Linked DNA regions of Astyanax mexicanus. The protein of the gene in region 1 interacts with the protein of each later gene in a pairwise test. Links are inferred from orthologs where the notes say so. Each region holds a gene or a part of one and is shown on either strand. Other genes may lie near its edges.

Region 1 (7,178 bases):
GACATCAGTTGCCATAATAATAATGTATGGCATGTGTTTAGTGCACGGCATATACATATATTAACAGTAGGGCTGGGAGGTTAATCAAATTAATTAGATTAATTTTAATGGGATTTTTAAAAATGGGATAATCAAAATTGTACTTTGTATCTTTACATTGTATCTTAACATGTAGAAGCTGCCAGAAACCTATGTTCATGTAGCTTGCCATCAGCTGCCGGAGCCCTGAGAGAGCACAATTGGCCTTGCTCTCTCTGGGTGGGTAGAGTGCGCTCTTTTCCCTCATAACTCTAAAAGGGTGATTTAGCTCAGCACAAGGCGTCTGTGGGCTCATGTATCGGGACCGAATTACTGTGCTTTCCTCTGAGTGCGCTGGCAACTCGAAAAGAGGCGGTGGCTGCCTTCACATGTATCGGAGGAGGCATATGCTAGTCTTCACCCTGCTGGTGTTGGGGCATTACTGGTGATGGGGGAGTCCTAATGAGAGGGCTGGGTAAGTTATGTAAGAACTAAACATCTGAAAAGTAATTGAGAATAGCTCATATTATTACTTTTTTTACAATATTACCCAATAACATAAAACAGCTAATAGCATAAAATATTTCAATAAGCACTCTTTTTTAAATATTAGATTTAAATCTGTATTAGCCAATATTCAGGGTTTCAGTATCAGCACAGGTGGAAAAAAGAGGTATTACACCATCTCTACCCACAAGGAAGACCCACATAAATAGTAGTTATTTTACAAAGTGGGATTTTTCACTGGGACAAATAAATTTATATCAAAGTTGAGAATTGCCCAGCAGGAAAGTCCCTCTCCTGTTTTTTCAGTTTTGACATCTAACCGAGTAAACTGCACATATCTGTTCAAATCAGGATAAACATTTAGCTGTTCATCTCTAAACATGCATGACCTGTCTGTAGTGCCTCAATTTTGATCTACTGGTTTTTGTGTGCTTAGGTAGGTTAGTTAGATAACCTAGCTAACAAGCACAGGAAAACTGTTGGGCGGAGAATAATAATAAAAGTATATGTACTTTATATGAATAGAAGAGGTTAGGCATATTTTTTTTTTCTATTTATTTTGTTAACCTAGCTAAAGCTAACCACCTGCAACTTTCACTTACCTACACTAGACTGGGTGAACTGAGTGAATTGTGTAGACTGTGACTCTAAACGCCTATAACCTGAACTACTGAGAAACTCAGAATTAACCCCTTAACAGGCCTTGGTCCATATATGGCCTACACATGTAGGTGATTTCAAACCCCTTTTCTCTGCACCAAAATAAAAGCTGCTTGTTCACTCTCTACTCCACCTGATAATTTGTTTAAAAAATGTTTGAAATTAGACATAAAAACTAGATAACGTAACAAAATAAAAGTTCAGACATAATAAAATAAAAAAAAGACATTAGGTGTTTGATTTGTATTCATGAAGCTTAGAAATTAGCCATTTTTGTGATTTTTATTCACTATATTTTTATTTACAATAGTTTTATTGTTTACCGTTACAGATTTAATTAAATATTGTTTCAATATTTTCTAAAGAAATATATATAATTTAGATTTTCAGTAATGTTTCTTATAAAATTTGAAACCTATTTATGTAATGCTTGGATAGATAAGTTTTCCTCAAGATTTAGGCGTGTAACGTTAATATCAGGCAGAAAATTGACAGACATAAAAAGAGATTAAGGTAGTAGTAAGTATCAACATAGCGTTAGATCCCATATTCTGCTGTTTAGTTCGCTAGCTATAATGCTCCATGCAAGCAGCTGAACTCCAGAAAAGTTGCAGAGACTGATATAACTAAAAAAACAGGCTTTGCTAATGCAGAACAATTACTCGACCAACAAGTTGGTTAGCTTAAGTGACAGAGGGCGGACAGCTCTTCAGTTTCAGTCACCCTTAAAACGTCTAAAAACTTCCTAAAATACCAAAAATAATAAACACTGTGTACAAAAACATAAACGACTCAAAAATCCCAACTAACTTTTTAATTTAAAGACAGTTACTCGCTAGTTACTCGCAGTTTGGTGGTCCTCTCGATCTTGATGTTAACCTAGCGCTAGCTTTAGCCAGCTCCACGAAACCGAGCTGGTTTCAGTCCTTAGGGAAGTTAAGCAAGCTAGTGAGCAGTTAGCCAGATCTATAGCTGTCTAACCTAGGTAGCTAGCTAGTTATTAGTTTGTAGCCAGATGCCATTTACACAGAATAAAGTAATATATATAAGGTACATGATGTGTTATTCGGGGCGGTTTATAACGCTAGCTAGCTAACGTTAGTTGCCTTGCCAACACTTTGAAAGAAAGTAGTTAGCTAACTAGCTAGGTAGCTATAGTAAACACCGTTAGCTATCATATCGTGAACACACGAATTCAGGTTGTTTTAACCGTTTCTAAGCCTGCTACTTTGGTAGTTTCGTACACAATTTGGGCGCAACAGTTTAGCCAGGCTACTTAACTCACATTCGTTTCACACGACTGGTTAACTAGGCTTAGTAACTCCAGCTTAGCTAGCGTTAGCTAAAGTTAGAAACTTACCCAGCACCGCGGCAGCGGCGGGATTAGCCCGGGCAATAGGGCAAATAGGGATAGAAGTGTCTCTCAGTAACAACAGTCCGGTTTAAAATCCAAACCAAGCGCTCTTAGCTAGTCCCCGTCCTTATTTTCTGCTCTTCCAACTTCTCTGGCACTGTTTCTCACAGCCAGGGTAAACTTCCAGCCCCCTGTGAGCCGCAGCAACAGCAGCAATATGGCTGAGTGTTTGGTCCGGAGGAGGAAGGGAAGGGAATGTGGGCGCTACTGAGTCAGTGTGGGAGAATAGAGCCGCTCTCAGCGCTTATTTACACTGATCCTCTACTCCTCCAGCCTGAATACTGGACTAAGATTTATGAACAACCCCGCTGCACTGCTCTCACTGTGCGTGCGCGTTTATAGCACGAACAACAGCCACACGAATACACACACTGACCTTATATTAACACCATCAGCCAGCAGTCTAGCCTGCGCTAGAAGCTCTCGCTGCTATTTTAGGAGTGCTCTCTCTCTTGTTGTATGTCTGATGAGAGAAGCAGAGCCACAGGCTGCGTCTGTAAGGAAGTAGCTAATCTAGTTAGCTAACCCACTACTGAAGCACAGTGTGACACAGAGCTACATTACTCCATTACAATACACTCTAACACTAACACAACTAAGAACTACAGGTGCGCTCTCAGTAAGTTACATACAACCATCATCTATTTCTCACTCGAAAAAAAATCATCCAGAAAGGAACACATAAGGAATCCTAAATTACTATAAACTTAAAAGCGTTAAACAAACCAAAAAACTCTTTGGTAGGGGTGGGCCATTAAAATAATATCATGATATTTCATGGTATTTTCACTATAACAATACTCTTGGCGATATGACAAAACACTGAATTATTATTTTTTTTTTTTCCAAAATACACTACTGCAACAAATAAAAAGTAATTTTATTATTGCATTCAATATGATATGGCACAACCCTAACTGAGATATTAAAAAATACAATAATTTTATCCGATTTGTAACAGAAGTCAATGATCCAGAATGTCATGATACTTATAATTCACTTCAAATATCTCCAATATATTTAGGATTAAAGTAAAATAAATGATACTTTAAAACATTTAGGAAGAAATAGGAAGACAGTTAAATAATGAATTCAGCACAGCTGTTAACTGAAAGCCAATCCAGACTCTAATTCATAAAGCTGACTGAGAAAATCCAGCCAAGATGTGCAAAGCTGTTTTCTAAGCAAGAGGTACTTACTTTAAATAAAATATAAAATATATTCTGGTTTGTTTAACACTTTTTGTTTATTGAATAATTACATAAATTTAGCTTCATAGTCTGAATGTTGCTAAAATAGCAAGATGAATGAAAAAATAGAAACACTACAGGTTTCAACTTTCAGGTTGATTTCTTATTTAAGGGTCTCATCATAAACATGATATCTTACATTGCATAATGTACCTTAGATTGTAGCTTGTTACCACTGTTTAGTGAGATATGTCTGTTTAACGAGTTAATGAGTTGTATCTACAGATCCATTTGCCCAGCCATTTTAACTCCTTTTTAACTCCTAGCTATTAATGCACCTTACCTATCTCCATACTGCTAGTCACCTGTGGCTTTTCATGCCTCTGTTTTCCTAGTGTGTCTTATTGTCTGATAGATAAGCCTTATATCCAATATGTTCCCCTTAAAGGCTCTATCTATGATCATTTCTGCCAGTAGATGTTGAACAAGGGCATCAGCATCTCAGACCAAAACAAATGCTTCACATATGGAGGTGAGCAGTTCCTGTTTTGGGAAAAACAAAAAACGAGTAACAGACCTGCTACGAACACAAAGACCATAAAACAACTGCCAAAGAGGGTGTGTGATTTTGCTTGACTACATCTTTATATAAAGTTTGTTGTTTGCTGCTATATTAATGTTTAAAATGTTGGATATATCACCTTTAAGGTCACATGAAGGCCCTGCATTTTTCGCGAATTCATGACAATTATACTATTCAAAAAAATGAAGGGATGCCTTTTAGAGAGATTCTGTTCTATGCTTTGATATTTTCCTAAAAAACTTATGCACACATCTTGGACTACATTGTAAGATCACAAAGAAGTGTTATTTGTAAATGCGGATGTCTGTATATGTCACTCCGAGCTGCCCATCCATTTAAAAAAATGCTTTATTGTTTCTTTTTTTTTTTAGATTTCCTGAAAATAATTTACACCATGTATATATCGACCTATTCAGAATGCAGCAGTTTAGCCCTGGCCATTCACTCTAAAGCAATTGCTATAAATGCTGCATTTATGTAGTATTTGAAACTGAAAAATTGCAAAGTCATATTTACTTCATATTTATTTATGTGTAAATATCATATATGAGTGAATATTATGGCCCTATCATTATCTAAGCACAACTCCAAACTATTTAAACTTGATTGCTTATTGAATTTAGTCATTTTCAGGAAATATATATTTGTAGGATGAGGACAGGTGTTAACACCCTAATTAAGTCATTGGATTAAGTTGTTTCAAGTGTTACAAGCACAAAGATGGGCAAAGAAACACCTAAAAACCAGATGTTTCAATAGTTTAAATAAGAGTGATGCTTGATGGAAAATCTGAATGGACCCATGTCTGGATCACAAAGGTCACCACATTAGCCAGACACCAGCAAGGTGAAGAAAGGGTTCTGGCATTGGCTGCTATTATGTTGAACTACATGGACCTTTCCGGGTTCAAGATGGACTGAAATATCAGGTCCTAAATTTACAGCATGCTTTTGGAAGATATTTCCTACAACAGTAAGATACTTTCTTCATGCAGGGGAACAGGTCAAAATCAGCAGCCCCACAGGTTCAATGTTAGCTTCATAAACGAATGTCAGTAGTGGGTCCCATCAGGCTCAGTGATGGAACCAGAAGAAGTTAAACATGGGCCCCATATGGGTTGTGCACTGTACATGGGGCCTAGATAGCACCCATGTGAAATTAAGGTGGGTTGCATTGATAGAGGCAATTTGGTTAGTCCAACTGGATTCCAGTAAAAGCCCACATGTCACCCATGTGAAACACATATGAGAATGTTGAACTGTTTTAGTGCTTGACAACAGACATTGCTCTATTAGCCTATATCTGAACGTCATTTCATTCAAAATATGTAAAATGAAACAGACTGTTTCTGTTGTATGGCCACACAAATATATTTAATTATTTCTTTTTTTATTTTAAAGCAACAACAGGTTTCTCAGTAGCTTCATGGATGAATTATTTAATGCTGAGTGTAACACAAATAGTAATATAGTGGTAATTTTCCATTAAAACGGTTCCAGTCACAAAATTCACAGATATATATAACCTTTAGCATCCCTCGACAACAGATAATATGATAGCAGTGGGGTTTTGCTGCCACCTACAGGCCTAAGAGGCTAATGCACTTAATTTGCTCTAAATGCCAAGATAAATCTGGAGATAATTAATTTGAGAGTAAAAACTTAATGCAAGCAGATAATACAGTTTATTTTTTTATTAAAGAAAAAAAAATGTGATAATGTTTCTGGAGCACTGTAGTGTTATTAGCCTGGACAACACTTTGAATGTAGCACAAGGCAGCCAATCAAAACAGTTCACTTTTTAATTTGGGAACGGTGTCATAGATACACTATAGGCTATATACGTATTCTCTCTTTCAATGTTATTATATACAGTTTCTGTCAATTGGTATCAATATTGCTGAGTGATAAATTAAAACAATAAAACAAAAAATACTGAAGATTAAAATAATCTGATTTTGTTATTCTATGAAGAACATTATAGAGAATGAACAGAAAATGCTAATCTAATTTCATGAATTTGATCACCATTAAGCTGTGCTGGATCTAGTGAGCCCAACAACAGATCCGTCAGCCAGAAAAAAACAGCAACATCTGATATCCAGATCCTGATACACACAGCGGGGTTTAAAAGTTCCTTTTATGTGGGCATTGAACGTTTACATATTATATGAAAATCGATCTAAAATTAAGCTATTAAAAACCGATGCGAAGGGCAGTCTCGCCTTCACGCGTACTTCTTGGTGCCATCTTTTTGCGCGCGCAGCGATCACACACATACACAAACATATACACACGCGCGCGCGCGCGGGATAAGCCTCACACACTCCCATGGATTTGACTCCTGAAGCCCGTCTCCAGGCTCGGAGGTAACTCGCACATCGCGCGCAATTCGTGCTCCACCGAGTTGCATAAAAAGGTTAGGCTGCGTTTTAATGTCATGCTCTATCAACACACTCAAGCATTTGATTCCATTGCACATTGTTTTTGTATTTTTTGTGTGGAATTTACATCTTATCTTATTTTATCTTCTTCATCTTATGAGATTTATATGTTCTTTTTTATTCACAAACCTGATTCTGTGTCTGGTTTTATTGGTTATTGTTATTTTTACCGCCGTCACTGCTTTTACCATTAAAATTTTCCTTGGGCTTTTGTTGTTTTTTCATTTTGTTTGTGTTTTCTCCACAGTTTTTTTACACATCTTCATAAACAATTTTCATTTATTTTCCATTTCTCAGAACTGTGTTTTTTATGTAATGTAAATGTAATGTAACTTTGTTAATATGCCTATCATGACAATATTT
Region 2 (7,920 bases), on another chromosome or scaffold:
TCCCTTGAAGTTAGTGCCCTGATCGGAGTGCTCTTAGCAAACAGATGCTCTGCACCTGGATGCCTTAAGTCTCTGTCTGTCTTTTGAATGATCAGTTTGGTTACAGGGTGCCTTGGATCCAGCACAACGGGATGAAACATGTCAGTCTCAAGTTGCATCAGCCGACCCCCCACACGAATAAGTCGCAGATCATGATCAAACTCCGGCATCAAGGTCAACAGAGTAGGGTAGTGGTTTTCTTGCAGCAAGACACTGCACCTCCTCAGGGAAACTATCCAGTTGTGCAGATCTTAAAAGGCTGAGTTCTGCTTCTTTGAAGGGCTCTTCTTTTGGATTTCCCTCTACTTCTACAGCCGCCCCATGAATACATCGATCTGTCTCAGCAACTAAGTCACTGTATTTGACAATCAGTTGTCAAATTGCTGAGCACCAGGGATGGCATGGGCAGAGGTTATTGTTGTCAGCAGACAGATTGCATCTCCACATAGATCACTACAGTCTTCAATGCTAGGGCTTGATGACATTAGATGGCCATTGGTCAGGTAGTAAAGCTAGAAACAGGGGACCACTAGCTCACTGACTCTTTCCTACTATATCTGCCAGTGACTTCCCCCGTGTAAGGTCATCAGCTGGGTTCTCAGCAGATGTCCCATACTGCCAGGATTGAGTGTCAGTCAGCTACTGTATCTCTGTAATGCGGGTGCCCACAAACACTTTGTGACAACAGGAGTCTGATCTAATCCATGAAAGAACAGTTGTGGAATCAGTACACATGATGACTTTAAAGATGATCAAAGTAAGCTCATTCTGCAGCAGCTTAGCTAATTGTGCCCCAGTAAGGGCTGCACACAACTCCAAACGAGGTATGGAGAGTTGCCGTTTGGGGGCTACTCTGAAACAAGCTGTTAGAAAGTCCACCTCTACTTGCCCATGCGTGTCTTCTGATGCATCACAGACGATGTGCACCTCATGCTTGCTATGAATGTGGTCCAATTTGGCACTCACATAGCAACAAAGTAAGCTGATGTTGTCTAGGTGTTGTAGCACTGACGCAATTCAAAGCCTTCTTCACACAACAGCCTTCTCATGTTGTCCACCACAGTCCGAGCATCTTCTACTGTAAGGAAACTCTGGAGCCAATTGTCAACATAGAAGTGCTTGTGCACTGAATGACAGACATCATCCCCATCAGAACTGTTGTCACAAACATGCCGCTGAAGAGCATAAATGGTGCAACATGGTGAGCATGTTGTCCCAAATGGAAGGACTTGCCACTCAAAGATATCGGGTTGGGAGTTTCTTCATAAATCACATCAGAGGAAGCAAATAAGGGAACAATCTTCAGGAAGCTGCCTAACCTGAGAAAACATGCCCTTTATGCCACTGCTGATGGCAATAGAATGTTCCCTCAACCGCAGCAGGACATTAAGAAGAGAAGGCCCCAGGTTTGGGCCAGAAAGCATTGTGTGTCACTAAGTGATGGGGGTGAACCAGGACTTCTTTAGCTCTGCTTTATAGACTTCTGCCTTCACTGAATCATTGAGGAGTCGCTTCTCTGTTGCACGCAGTTGGGGTAGAACAGCTGTGAGTGGCTATAAATAGCAACAGTCTGTGTTTGTGCCTGGCGACGTGATATATAGTGATGGGCAGATGAAGCCTCATTGTGTGTATGGCACATTTCCCAAACTGTATCGACACTGTGTTGAAACTGTGTTGCTGTATCACTTAATGGCGACATCTGCTGGACTAAGAAAGTCATTGCAAGCAACTGCGCGAGGAAATGCATCGGTCACGTGGTTTTCCTTAAAATGATACGCGGCCCGACACAGGGGTTCGCCTTGTTTGCTCGGTGCATGCGCTGAAGTTTCAGTGTCGTCAGACCCATCGCTACCAAAGGACACAGGAAGTGTATCGGTCACGTGGTTTTCCTCAACTTGATACACGCACCGACACGGGGTTTCGCCTTGACAGCTCGGCGCATGTGTTGAGGTTTCAGGGTCGTCAGACCCATCACTAGTGATATAAGAGGTAGGCTGGCTAATTATATGATATGCTGAGGTAATTTACACTCTTTGTTTGTTAGCTCTTGGCTAAGCTGCTTGTTAATTTCTACTTATCCTGACTAACTTTGAAGGTATTTTGATCAGGTAGGCTTAAACTATTGCACTTTTTAAAGTTCTGTAATAGTAGGCAAATGCCTGTTGCATTTTAATTGTACACTATTAGACACTCTATGCTTTTGGGCTGCTTTAGCTCCATATGCTGTGTCTGTAATAGTTTAAGTGTTTTAGCTTTGGTTGCTACTACTTTATTTAACTGCTACTACTATATTTAACACTAGTACCGTTTTAGAATGGTCACCTGGGGACTTTAGGTAAGATATGTCTCAATATGTTCTGAACAGGATGCAAAATGGGCTTTATATCGTGTTTTTAACTAATTTTGTGTGTAATCTATTTTTAATAGAGGTTTAAAGCTGCTACCCTGTCCATGGGCGAAGTTAGCATTCCACCTTGAATTAAGTGGTATGTCTCCTCTTGTACTTGAATGCAATTTGCACTGTTTTCATGTGATGAATGTATTAATGTGTTTTTTGTGTATTTGCATAGAGAGCCACAGTTCCAGTGGTTGCCAGTTGCTGTTTTCTGTTTTTGTTGCATTTCTTTTTTTTATTTTGTTTATTCTACCATAACAAATTTTGTAGCACTAAGTGTATTAACTGCTCAGGTATTTTAGGTAATGTGGTTTTAATTATTTGCTCTGTATAGACTCTAGCCTATTTGTAACTACGTGGTACAATTAGTTTATTTTAGCTGTGGCTATAATTGTTACTGGGACTGGGGGTTTGGAGTCAACCATATTTGGCTATATCAAGTCCTGTTCACTAGAAGTGTGATTTTTAGTGCTTTGCTTTTTTTTTGTTTAAGTTTGCTGTGCAGTGATTAGTTAAACTTTATTCACGTGTGTTATTTTAGTCCTATTGGATTGACCTCATATTGCCCCATACCCTGGACCTAGTGGTCATAGTTGGGTAATTTGTGATTTTCTTAATTTCTTTTATTTATATATATATATATATATATATTTTCCTCTCACCTAATAAATAAAACTGACAGTGGATGTGACTTTGATACAGTTTTAAATAAATCATTGTATTTTCTACTACAGTCAAGTTCTTGTGTGTCTTAATTGAGAGTTCCCCTTACTCTAAATAAAATAAGTAATTTAAGGGGTGGCGTAGTCTGGTAACCCCTAGTTAGGGGGCGCTACACATGTTTCTAACTCGCAGCAAGGGTGTAGCATAACGGTGTATCCCATCAACTTCGACTCGCTGTGTTTTGTCTTACAGCAGGTTAATAGCCTCTTGGTCCCTCTGTGATCGAGTCACAAGTTTCTCACTCTGAAAAGGGTGGTTGTCAACCTGCCAAAGTTTCTCTACCTGACTGTAGTGATCAGAAACAGCAGAGCAAGTAGACAGGAACAGGCACTGCTGGGACATGTTCTGCTGTTGCATGTGCTTCACTGGCCCTTGCAGCATCCAGCCGAGCTGTGTTTTCACAGCTGCAGGACCACCAGGAGGTCCAAGATGCACTGGCCTGACAGGGGTTATCAGGTATGAATAGTCAGATCCTATGAGGAGGAGTGGTTTCAAATTGTTAAAGCACTCCAGAAGAAGTGACTTAAGGTGCTTGACCTTTCTATTCAGATGTTCCACTGGGTAAGTATGTGCAGCCAGTCCCAGCTGTGCAGCAGTGAATGCCCTTTCCACTGTGAATGTTCTTGCTGGTTGATCAACAGGAGAAATAGTGAATGTCACTGATGAACCCTGCAGTGTTCTTACAACATGTCGTGCTGTCCTCAATGTCAGCTTCTCTGAATTGCTATGGAGCTTTAGCCTTTGGGCAGCATCCTGGAGTAGGACTGTCCTCTCCCAGCCATCTTCAAGGATGGCATAAGTCTCTAGGGTGTTTTCACCATTTCGTAGAAGCACCTTGCTGATCTTGAGAAGGACCCGATTGCAACCAGCACGCCGATCCAAGTACAGAACTTCAGTGGGAGCCTCAGCTTTCTCTTTGGTACCAGTTCTGTTATTAACCTCATGAAGGGTCCTCAAGATGTTTACCCCTGCATGTCTTAGGCAACACTTTTAGTTGTCACTGTGCACCCCATGTCTAGCCAATGCATTGGCCTTAACTAAGTAATAAACATTTACCAATAAACATTCAAGTGTGCAACATTTTTAACCACCATCACTGTAATATACACAGAACACCTCTACTTACGGCTCTATAGACGCACACAGTCACAAAATCCACAAAATAACAAATATCCCTCAATGACCTCAGGAGCTGCTGAACTGGCTCCTCATGGTTCTGCTATGCACCTTCTAAACAGAGCATGTGCAATGGAAATTTCCAGACTCTCACATGTAGTCCACTTATTGGCCTCTAGGGGGCACTGTTCCTATAATCTTCACACATTTATTCATCCAATCTTCACAACAATACGTTATGCTGGTTGTCCAGTTGGTTAACCAGTTATTGACCAGCATAGTGTTACATTTGATCCTGAATGGTCTTGCTTATTGATCTGCTTGTTGATCTAGGTTGTGCTGGTTTATCTGCATGGTAAAGCTATACTTTTACAGCAGCCAAGCCATCAAACTCAAACTAAATCATATCATATAATGATGGCAAATATAATAAAGAGACAAGCTGGGCCTGATCTGTTATTTTCAGCAGAGATATAATTAGCAAAAATGGTATGTTTGATTAAACCAAGTGTATGTGTAAAGGATACATACATAGGTACTTTCACTCCCTCACCTTGGTCTTTGTTTTGTTCTTTCTCCATCTCTTTCTATTTTTGAGACAGAGTTTTAAAAGGTTCAGACTGCTGATTCCATTTAGCACCATTGTGAACTATTTAGACTATTTAGAGTGAAGACTTTTACACCAAACCCACTCTGAAAGACTCTTGGCCATTTAATGCTTTTAGAAAAAGCAATTATGTACCTGCAAACGGATTAAAGTATAAAAGGCTGACTCAAACAGGCAGCTGATCAAACAATATTCAGTTTTATTGAACACAACATTCTGTAAGGTGCAAATGATTTTAGTTTGCACAGTAGAAATAGTACCGCAATATTAAAACCCACCAGAACAATGAAACCCACGGTTCTGGCAGTTCTTAACTCAAGCTTTAAATCAGTGAATATAGATAAACGGGGAAAAGGGTAACAAAGGTACTTTGAATATATCTATAAAACATTCTTATAAATAAGTTTATAAATGAAAAAGAAGAAAACAAAAAAATTGTATCAAACGTGTAAGGCACGGCAGCAAGTAATACAAATACATTAATCTGAACAGACTGTCTAAAAAAGCCTCTCTAATGTTCTTCATTTAGCAGCTTTTTTGTTTTATTTTTTTTTTTTCATCATAAAATAACATTCCTATAAGAAGATGAACATCAGTGCAGGACAGAGGAATACCTAAGCAATCCCTCTCTCGGACAGCGTTCACACTAGAGATGTCCTAATTCAGATTCATTCAAATCTGATCAAAGTGAATTTCTTATTTCTCATACTGATCTAATCTAATCTTTAGAGGGTCTCAGAGTGGTTTGCTAGAACTCATTCATATTAACACTTTTTGCATGTTTGCTGTATCTCTAATCATTCTTTAATGTGTACAGAATAAGGACACTGCTTAAGGCTGGAAATAATGTATCTCAATGGCCACTAGATGGCACCAGAAGGTTATAGAACACAGTGGTAAAAAAGCTTGGAACATCACACCACATTCTACTTATTAAAGGCAACACCTTTTTTAATAAAACTGTGTCTGGATCTGGACATCCCAACACAGTAGGTACTATGTGGATAAGTGTAAAACAGCACATATGACACAGTCTCACTTAAATACAGTAGAACAATTGAGTAGAAGAGAGAGAACAGAGATGCTCTCCTCGTGCAAGGTCTTTTTGGCAGCAGATAAAATTAAAACGGAAAAGGTTATTTTACGGATACGTTCCTATCTAAAGCGGGTTCTCTTGTAAAACTGAGTGTAATGTTGATTGTCCAGATGATCAGGCTATTCTCTGGTTTCTGAGAGAGGTCAGAAGGCTCTTTGGTGTCCAGTGCTCTATTAACTTGGTGACCGGGTCCTTCAGCATGTATTTCAGATGTACTGCTGTAGGTCGGCTGATTATTGCAGCACACACTTTTCTTTGTTGCTGTACTTCCGACGCCGGAGCTCCAAACCACGCTCCAGTCGAGCGTCCTCCTCCAATGCCCTGAAACACACACACACACACACACACACACACACACACACACACACACACACACACAATTAGATTAGTGAGAGTGTGTATAAATAGACACAGGGAGTGAAGTGAAAGGAATGAGAGAAACAGTATATACAGTGGTGTGAAACATTTTTTTGCATGTTTTTCACTTCTACATGGTTAAAAGCTCCACTAGGTAGGATTGAGATTTCGTGCTCGTGGGCTCCCCCTACAGTTGCAGAGTGTAATAAATGTTTTAGGCAGATTAGTTTTTCTTTCTCGTTTTCTGGCTTTCACAGACATATTCGGTCTCTTTCCAGCTTCTGCCAGAGTGTCTGTATGTTAGTTTGTAAAGAATGAACCAGTAGTCCTTGTACAACTGTTAGAACTAAAGGTCGGAAAGCAGGTCGCAGTTCTCGCGAGCGTTGGTCGCGGCCGCCTCGGAAAACTTACTTAGAGTCTAGTTTGAGCTCAGAGAAGCTCCGGCACAGACACGAGAGCACCGCTATTCCTCCTATTACACCTCAATGCAGCGCTGCAGTGAGTTTCAAGCTGTAATTTTACTTCTTTAAAAAGATAAAAAAAATCAAGGAAATCCTACCTAGTGGGGCTTGAATTCATATTATAAGTTATAATATTATATTATATTATAAGTAGAAACAAAGACTTTTTCATACAGGGCCCCTAAGGTTTGAATTTTCAGTCTCCCCCAATAATTAAAACCCTTATTTAAAAACTCCATTTTGAGTTTACTTGTGTTGTCTTTAGATGATCTGAAACATGTAAGAATGACAAACATGCAGAAAAATAAGAAATCATGATCTTGTGTTTGCCCTTTTTCACACCACTGTACGTGTGTGTGTGTGTGTGTGTGTGTGTGTGTGTGTTTGTGTGTAGCACATAATTTTAAGACTCACCCTCTCTCTTTAGCATCCATATCCCTGACTAGTTCATCCCTCTGGTTAACCAGACTGACCAACTCCTGCAAGAGTAGCTGCTCACGGAGCTGCTGAGCCTGACTCTTTTTCCACTCTGACAACACACAACGAGCACACACACACAATAAACCCAGATTTTACAAATATATTACACATTTCGGTTGTAAAAACAATGATTATAGAGACTATTCCACAATAAAACAGATATATTGAATAAATGAATAATCAGTGTGATGATAATAAAACATCTGATATAGTCCTGATATACAGCAGAAAGTGGACTACAGGGTGTTCTGCTGTTTTAATGAGAGCTGATTAACCAGTTGCTGCTGCTCTGCCTGGGTATCTGTGTGCAAGACTGAATAAAACAAGGTGTAGATGTGATGCTAGCATTAGCTACTTTTGAAGATGGAAAATCTGACAAATGCACAACATTGGTCTACAGTTATGAAGGAAAGAGAACAAAAATACGTTTGACTGCAGAAAGTCTGACCGCAGTATACCTGCATGGTGCTTAACACAAAACATACCTCACCGTTACGTCATCTTTAAATGACCAACATTATGTGGTAAAAAAATATGTTCAGAACTCTGTATGGTTATTTCTTTGTACATTTTTCTCGTTAACATCACTGGATCCTCTGAATTACAAGATCCCTTAATAGTCGTAATAAGAATAATGCTAGCTTTT

Evidence for each region. The genes of interacting proteins can lie anywhere in the genome.
Region 2: the proteins of plekhf2 (region 1) and frmd8 interact in binary tests that used the Homo sapiens proteins (3 or more experiments, as listed by UniProt). The two-hybrid records come from large-scale screens. The link is inferred for Astyanax mexicanus from reciprocal best matches to the Homo sapiens genes PLEKHF2 and FRMD8.

Annotation. Positions count from the first base shown.
Region 1 is NC_064413.1:18,442,115-18,449,292, reverse strand, and holds the start of plekhf2 (pleckstrin homology domain-containing family F member 2), read right to left. Parts: upstream 3,049-7,178; 5' UTR 2,546-3,048; intron 1-2,545. UniProt on the Homo sapiens protein: May play a role in early endosome fusion upstream of RAB5, hence regulating receptor trafficking and fluid-phase transport. Enhances cellular sensitivity to TNF-induced apoptosis.
Region 2 is NC_064427.1:12,714,506-12,722,425, reverse strand, and holds the start of frmd8 (FERM domain-containing protein 8), read right to left. Parts: upstream 3,063-7,920; 5' UTR 1-3,062. Other genes in the region: uncharacterized protein ehbp1l1b, read right to left, coding at 6,210-6,297, 7,209-7,323. UniProt on the Homo sapiens protein: Promotes the cell surface stability of iRhom1/RHBDF1 and iRhom2/RHBDF2 and prevents their degradation via the endolysosomal pathway. By acting on iRhoms, involved in ADAM17-mediated shedding of TNF, amphiregulin/AREG, HBEGF and TGFA from the cell surface.